2 linked regions of the Lytechinus pictus genome follow. Each later gene encodes a partner of the first gene's protein in a complex. Links are inferred from orthologs where the notes say so. Each region holds a gene or a part of one and is shown in the gene's direction. Other genes may lie near its edges. The genes, in order: ubiquitin-conjugating enzyme E2 G2-like and lipid droplet-regulating VLDL assembly factor AUP1-like.

Region 1 (3,930 bases):
AAAGATGCAAAGGGGCTCTCCTTTCTGGACGGTGTTAAACAGGGGCGGATCCAGGATTTTCCAAAGGGGGAGGGGGCACATTTCCCCAATAAAAATTTTGACAAAAAGGTCCTTATTTAAAAGGACCTTTTGGTAAAAATGGCACTTTGGTAAAAATGGCATATTCACATCATAGAGAAGGGGGACACGGGCCGGATGTGCCCCCCCCCCCCCCCCTTCCTGGATCCGCTACTGACTACAGACTTGAGATATTTATATCTCAATAAATAGAGTAAAATTCACAAAGCAAAATGCTGAAAATTTGATCAAAACTTTTTCGGATAACAAATAACGAAGTTATTTGCATTATTCCGGTGAAACAGTTCTAGGCATGTCTTCATGAATATTCATTAGGCGGACGGATGATGCCATATCCCCACTTGTTCTTTTTATTTTGGTATATGAAATTAGGTTTATTTTTTTTCTACCAAGAACTAAAACAATTGGATTGACAACTGATTAAGTGCATTACTGCAACTTATTTCATCATAATATCATTTACACATGAATGAAAAATGAAACAATTATGATTTCATGTAATAACATAAGAAAAAGGAAAGTGGGGATATGACATCATCAGCCCACCTTATGAATATTCATGACGATGTGCATATAACTGTTTTCACAAAATATTGATAAACTTTAAAATTCAATAACTTCGTTATTTGTTATCCGATTTCGATGAAATTTTTATCATTTTGATTTGTGAATTTTACTCTATTTATTTAAATTAACTATTTTCAGCCCGGACCATCCTTTTAAATAAATCTAAAATTGCTCGGCAGTAGTTTCGGTCGGCACTTTGCACATTTCACAGCAGTAAAAAAAAAGTAAATCATTTTTGTTAGAGATAATAATGGAATCAAGATCACGATATCCATGATAGAACGGATTAAAATAATTTGTGCACACTATACTTCGAATTTTCAGCTGATCCAGACCTATTATGCTAAGATTTTTTTATTTTTTCTTGTTTCTTTCTTAATTTTTTTAAGGGAGGGAAGGACATTCAAATATTATAATTTTTTTGTTATTTGGTTGATTTGCTTCAATAAAAATCTAAATATATATATAATGTCAGACCATTTATAAAATAAACTTTAATTCATTTCTGAGTGATAGAGATGATGATGGAGAGATTTGTTTTTATCTCTTTACATGTGTCAGTACTAGTTGCATCAGTTCACGAAATCGCCTCTCATTTTTGCTTTGCAAATAAATCTCTCACGGCTACCTTCCTGAAATAAACATTTGTTGGGCCTAGTTGGGTTTCATCTCCTTGGTTTGTCAATGTCAGTGCAATTGACCCGCAATTGACGTGTCAAAAAACGGGCATATTTTGAGAGAATAATTAGAACTGAATATGGCCGGAGCTGCACTGAAGAGATTAATGGCTGAATATAAACGTGGGTATAACTCATAAATTATATTTGAAGGCTTAAATTTGTATTATTTTAACTGATAACTCGATCTTTATTTATGTGTGGCATATTGCAATTATTGCGTGTGCCCCATTCGTAGATTCCCGTGTTTGTGATTCGATTGTGTCTTGATAAAGTTCTTAAGTTCGTATTTATTGTAGTCCAAGTTCATGGAAATTTTCTTTCCACCAGCATTACAAATATAAATGAAACGGCAACATGTGAGAACATACAAAAATGGTGAATAATACATGTAAAATAGACAAACAAAATTATGAAATTAGTCAAAAAATCAGAAGACAAAATTTTTGGTGGTGGTCGCCAGCTGAGCGGGGGCCCCGGGGGGGGGCACTCGACCAAAAAAGTGGTAGGGGTGTGCCACGGGCGATGCAAAAAACGGGGGCCTTGGAGCGGGTTTATTGTAAAAAGGAGGGTCCTCGGAACGGGCTTCGGAACTACAAATGTTTGTGAAAACGGGGGTCATCGGAACGGATCTCCGTATCTCTGTGAGTGCGTATGCATCCCTATGGAACGGGCAATCGTGCATGACGCAGCTAGCGCGGCCTCCGCCGGGTGCGCTCGCGCTTAGGCGATGGTCGAAAAGCGCTCTACGGCCGCTTTTCACCAAAATTGTAGCAGATCAATGCGACCGGAACGGCGTAACGAAAAATATGCGAAGCTTTGGAGCGGATTTCTTTCTTCTTTTTTCTCGATAAGAAGGAAATGCTATGCCTTGGAGCGGCTTTCTTTGTTCTTTTTCTCAATAAGACAAAAATGCTATGCCTGGGAACGGAAATTTGAGTGTAAAAATGGGGGTCCCCTCCGCGGCACATACCCACTATGCATTATATACTGAGTGCCCCCCCCCCCCCCCCCCCCCCGGGGCGGGGACATGTTTGCTCACCTGTGACCTTTAACTTAAGATTAGGGCATAATCATAAATTTCTTTGAAATTCAATTACTTTTTCACTTTACGTTTAGAATCCATTGTCATGTGATATAATAATGTCGTGAATGTATCGTGTGTGTGATGCTCTAATAATCGATTATGACATTGGATTGTAAAGTTACTCCAATTATCAACTGAAAAAGTTATAAATTTAAACTGCATGCAGACAATAAGTTATGTAGTTTAATGTTTTATTTTATGTCATGAACAGAGCTAACAGTGAACCCTCCAGAGGGTATTATAGCAGGCCCTGTCGATGAAAAAAATTTCTTCGAATGGGAGGCTCTGATTACGTGAGTATTTTCTAAAATCTATTCTTTGCTTTGTCACATAAAGTCTGCTTTCATGATTTTTACATGTATTTGATTATTTTCTTTCGCATTCAGAATATTAGTAGAATATTGTTCTATGATATAACAAACAAAAACTTGTAATGAATTATCTTGTTGACAATGAATGGTAAATGCGAACCTCTAATTATTCCCAGCTAAATTACCAAACGTACATGCAAGTATTCTGTAGTAAAAGAACTACTGTTGTTACTAAAGATTTTTAAACCATCACAACAAAAATACAATGTTATAAAGCAGGATGGGATATTGATAACATACATTTGAATATTTGGAATATGAAGAAAGATGGAGGTGATGGAGATGAGATGATTGCAGAGTTGAAACTACATGTAAATCATTGACTCACTATCGTACTTTAAATGAATCAACATTGAACTTTTTCAAAGCCATCAGGGGCAATTCCACGAATACAGAATTGGTTGGTGGGGGAATATGGGGCATTATTTTTTACCAGTATTACAAAATACTCTTCAATTATTATTATTTTTAATTAAAGGTCAAGTCCACCCAGAGTAATTTTAATTTGAATAAATAGAGAAAAATCAAACTGGCATAACGCTGAAAATTTCATCAAAATTGGATGTTAAAATAAGAAAGTTACGACATTTTAAATTTTCGCTTATATTTAAAAAAACAGTGATATGCACAATTAAGTGACATTCAAATGAGACAGTCGATGATGTCTTTCACTCACTATTTCTTTTTTTTATTGTTTGAATGATACAATATTTCATTTTATACATATTTGACAATATGGACCATCTTTGACTTAACCATATAGTATTAAACAATGCTAATTCCACATTTTCAGGGAGGAATTCAACATTGTTTTACTTGACAATGAGGAGAAAATAAGAATATTTCATATTTCATAAATACAAAGGAAGTAATGAGTGGATGACATCATCGGTCTCCTCATTTGCATACCGACCAGGAAAGTCAGCAAAACTTTAAATTATCATAACTTTCTTATTTTACATCCGATTTTGATGAAATTTTCAGTGTTATGCTCGCTAGATTTTTGTCTTTTTACTTTTGACTAGTCCTTTAATGGGCCTGCTACCACTGAGCCACCATTTTGGTTGAGGCTACATGTAGAACTCGTTTTCCTATGTTGAAAGCATATATTTTTCTCCACCGATCATATCTCCCATCATCAGGGGTCCAG
Region 2 (3,930 bases), on another chromosome or scaffold:
TTAGGGAGAAATAAAACTTTGTTTTGCATGACAATGAGGAGAAAATATAGTATTAGAACATTTAGTATAATAAAATACAAAATAGGTAGTGAGTGGGTGACGTCATCACACCCCTCATTTGCATACCGACAATGGTGTGCATTGTGAAATATGTCATAACTTTCTTATTTTCCACCCAATTTTGGATTTTGATGACATTTTCGTTATCATTATTATTATTTATTCGGCATTTCAAAATATATAAATTACAGTACAATACAAATTACATAAACATTAGGACATACGTGACATAGTACAAATGACCTGGAATAGAGATAAAGGGGCTGCCTTGGTTTGGAAAAGGTTAACTAAATTACCATGACCCACAAGTCTTCCTTCCCACACCCCTGCTTGTTGGATTTTTCTCTATTATTTAAATCAACTATTTGATGGGGATGGACTTGTCTTTTTAGAATGTAAGGTTATTTCAATAAAATGAATACGTTTCATAAATAATTATAGTCCTTCGCATTGAATTTTAACTATATTTGATACCCAATAAATTTGTTTTTAAATACTCGGAGCGACTTGAATGCTCCATTTGTTCCTACAGTGGGAAGGGCGCGGGGGTAGGCTTATAACTTGTCACAGTGCAATTTCCGAGTCTCCTCAGTGACGTAATGAGGCAAGCATTTGAAGGGAGCCAGGCAAGGCTTATGTGCCAAAAAAAAACTGTGATAGATTAAATGCACAAATGTAACTTCCGGAAAATGATATTCATATTTCACCATTTCCCCTTCCTTATCTTTATTTTTCTCCCTTGAAGTGAAACTCTAATGTTCCCTCCAAAAATATAAAGAGAAATGATAATTAAGAGACATACATAAATAAACAAACAGATGAATAAATAGATAACCTACATAAATGAAATGGGGAAAAGAGTACAAGTTTTGGATCATATTCAAGGATGCCAATTATATGTTCTTTTCATATTACTACTTGACACCTGACGGACACCATACACGAGTTTTGCTGGCGCAACTATCTTTGGCTGATCTGAAGTAAAGTCAAAAGAAAATTCGTGCCCTTGCTTGGCCTTGTTTGTTGATCAGAACAGCGCAGGAAGGCAGTCGAATACCATTGCAATAAATGAACACATTTAATTCCTGAATACCTCGTATGGACCGAATCATTCATATTAAGCATTATACAAAGGGTGAGATTTACAAGAAATATTAGAAGTGACAATCCAGTTGTAAATATTCGTACGCCTACTATTGTATTGATTTACTTTACCAAACGTAACTTTGAATGTATGGGACTGAAATGTAAAACTTGAGTATTAACAACGTGACGTGAGTGAGGTTGCTCTCTATTCTATAACTTCGCAGTAGCAAGTTAATTTTACTTTTCAAAAGCTTCTAGACCAGCTTAACCTTAAGATGTTGTTTAAACTAGTTTAGAGGCCTTATCGTGAAATTAGTCACCTCTCTTCTCGTGTGTCATGTGTCATCGTGTGCACTCGTGGTGTACAAAGTCAATGGGAGTGGAAAGAAGTCACTAGTGAGTAGTGGACTGGTAGTGCTGACGAAATAAAATAAACGGCAGTGAATGGACTGGTGACTTAAACCAGGATAATGCCAGTTTGGATTAGTTTCGACAACATCAGGATTTAATGTAGATAGTATCTTTCTTGTCTTGAATCTTGCTAAGTCCGATCCAAGTTATTCATTGCTCAAATTTTTTGGCTTTGCCTTTGACTTTGTTAACTCAACCCCACTCACACGTATTGCGAGGTTAGTAGTACTATTAGTACCTGACTAAACCCCTCCTTCATGTCCTTCAAAGAATGGATGCTTTATCCCTTATTACATGAGCAGCCTTGCCCTTGGTATTCTAAACTCAATATGAAAGTATAAAATCTAGTAGTGATTGCCTATGAATTTTCAAATTAAACATGTTAAACCAATTTTTTCTCTAATTTCAGGACTTTCGAGGACAAGGAAAGGTGGTTCTACTCACTCATCCAGAGCCGAGGTTGTACTACTCGCAGTTGTTTCTCAGTGATTAGCCAAGTGAAAGCTTAAGATGGTGGTTGAAATGGCCCAGCTTTTCAGTCCACAAAGGTAAGGTTTTTAGTATAAAGTGGATTAGGATCACCATGATCACATGTCAGTCAGATATCGAAACTTTGGAAGGTTTTTAAGACTGAAAAGTCAATTTTTTACCTTGCTTTTTGGCTATTTGAAGAATTTACTTGGTCTTGGATGAAAAAATATTAGTTCTCAAAATAAATAGGCAATTTGGAGGCGATAGAGGTGGTCCTGCTTCAAGGAAAAAAAAAATTTTTTTTAATCAGTTTGAGTTTACTTTGATTTTCTTTGTTCCACATTTGATGTTTAATATTCTGCTTTCCATTTCTAAATATGATATTTCTAATTTTTACCTTTCTCTTCTTCTTGTTTTCTTGTTTTGTTTGTACTTTTTCATGAAGTGATGATTTTACAAGCGGAATACAAAAACGGATGCTGAAGTTTTCCCATTTCTCAGCAAACTTTTAAAGACCAATTTATGCAAAGCATGCGTTGTAGGTCTTTTCTAAGTCAATTTTCTCTTCAGTTTATTAGCTTTCTATGGTCCCAAAAGGTAAGCCAATGTCTCAGGATTAGCCCACAAACATGAGCGATGTCATGATAAGGGTATCATTTGTGCACTTACCTGTACATGTGTGTTATGATATATTATTATGATATGATTATGATTATGATATTATTATGGTATAATATTATATTATGGTATAACATGAAAAAGTGAAAGGGATGTGATTTGCAGATAGTAAATATATATGCCACTGCATTAGCCACAGAGAGTGGGTGATCATTGTAAAAAGCCTAGATGGAAATCAGATAGCTAAATAGCCAATGAGTAATTCATTTTATTGTTCTTTATTTTTGTTGCAGGATAGGGGACAGCAAGACAGCTGTTATCCTGGCCTTGTATTTTCCTCTTGGTCTTATCCTAGCAGTTCTAAGGCTCTTCATTGGTTTACACGTTTTCATCATTGCTTGTATTCTTCCTATCCAAGTGCCCTTTAGAAGGTATTTAATCTCTTCCCAAGAAAATTGGTTTTATTTCATTAATTGCAGGACATTATTTGAAGCCTTTTAAGATAAACTATTCTTCTTTGAATTTGCAACATTAGTATTTTACTTCTTAAAAGTTTTCTGAAATAAATTTGGATTGACAGAAATAATTTTTTGCCAACTATAAAGTGAAGAACAATACATTTAATTTTCCATCGCTCTACCATTTTGAAAAATTAATATTCACATTAAAGGGGAATCCAGCCTTGGCCATTGAATGATGTGTTTGGAAGGAGAAAAATAAATTAAACAGAATGGTGAAAGTTTGAAAGAAATCGGACAAGCAATAAGAAAGTTATAGCTGCTTTAAAATTGAGATCACTAATACTATGTAGATTTCAAATTGGCAACTGGGTAAGTAAAGTATGACAAGGGGCAAGGACAACTTTCCCATAGGCCATGTACTTTATTATCAGGGATTTGTGGTTTTCTCCAAAGTACCCATTTCCCTGGGGCAGTAATCTAAATATAACCCAGGTAGTATATTGTTTTATGTCCGCATGAAAGAAAAATATAATTTGAAATAAAACTTTTGGGAAAAATGACATTTTAGCCATGATATGTATTGGAGTACATGGAAGAGTAGTCCTTGCCTTACATCACTATGACATCCCATATGCGGCCAATTTGAAGTCTCCATGGGTATAGTGATTACCAATATTTACAACTTTTAAAAATTCATAACTTTCTTGTTGTTTGTCCAATATTGTTCAAACTTTCACCTATCAACTTGTCTGATTTTTCTTTTTCTTATAAAAACAAGTTTTTATTTGGGTTGGATTCCCCTTTTTAACTTCAAGTGTAAAAT

The links.
Region 2: the proteins of ubiquitin-conjugating enzyme E2 G2-like (region 1) and lipid droplet-regulating VLDL assembly factor AUP1-like are in contact, whole or in part, in a crystal structure (PDB 7LEW), measured with the Homo sapiens proteins. The link is inferred for Lytechinus pictus from reciprocal best matches to the Homo sapiens genes UBE2G2 and AUP1. Residues at the interface, in NP_003334.2 of Homo sapiens: Tyr13, Thr17, Pro20, Gly23, Ile24, Val25, Ala26, Gly27, Pro28, Met29, Asn30, Glu31, Glu38, Leu40, Met42, Glu45, Glu50, Phe51, Val53, Pro55, Lys156, Val159, Gln160, Ser162, Leu163, Leu165; in NP_853553.1 of Homo sapiens: Ser379, Arg382, Gln383, Leu386, Arg389, Lys390, Leu393, Tyr394, Tyr396, Ala397, Arg398, Arg400, Phe401, Thr402.

Annotation. Positions count from the first base shown.
Region 1 is NC_087245.1:12,249,839-12,253,768, forward strand, and holds the start of ubiquitin-conjugating enzyme E2 G2-like, read left to right. Parts: upstream 1-1,141; 5' UTR 1,142-1,402; coding exon 1,403-1,445; intron 1,446-2,620; coding exon 2,621-2,702; intron 2,703-3,922; coding exon 3,923-3,930. UniProt on the Homo sapiens protein: Accepts ubiquitin from the E1 complex and catalyzes its covalent attachment to other proteins. In vitro catalyzes 'Lys-48'-linked polyubiquitination. Involved in endoplasmic reticulum-associated degradation (ERAD).
Region 2 is NC_087256.1:4,941,518-4,945,447, forward strand, and holds the start of lipid droplet-regulating VLDL assembly factor AUP1-like, read left to right. Parts: upstream 1-968; 5' UTR 969-1,195; intron 1,196-1,230; exon of another isoform or gene 1,231-1,334; intron 1,335-1,966; 5' UTR 1,967-2,067; coding exon 2,068-2,105; intron 2,106-2,939; coding exon 2,940-3,077; intron 3,078-3,930. UniProt on the Homo sapiens protein: Plays a role in the translocation of terminally misfolded proteins from the endoplasmic reticulum lumen to the cytoplasm and their degradation by the proteasome. Plays a role in lipid droplet formation. Induces lipid droplet clustering.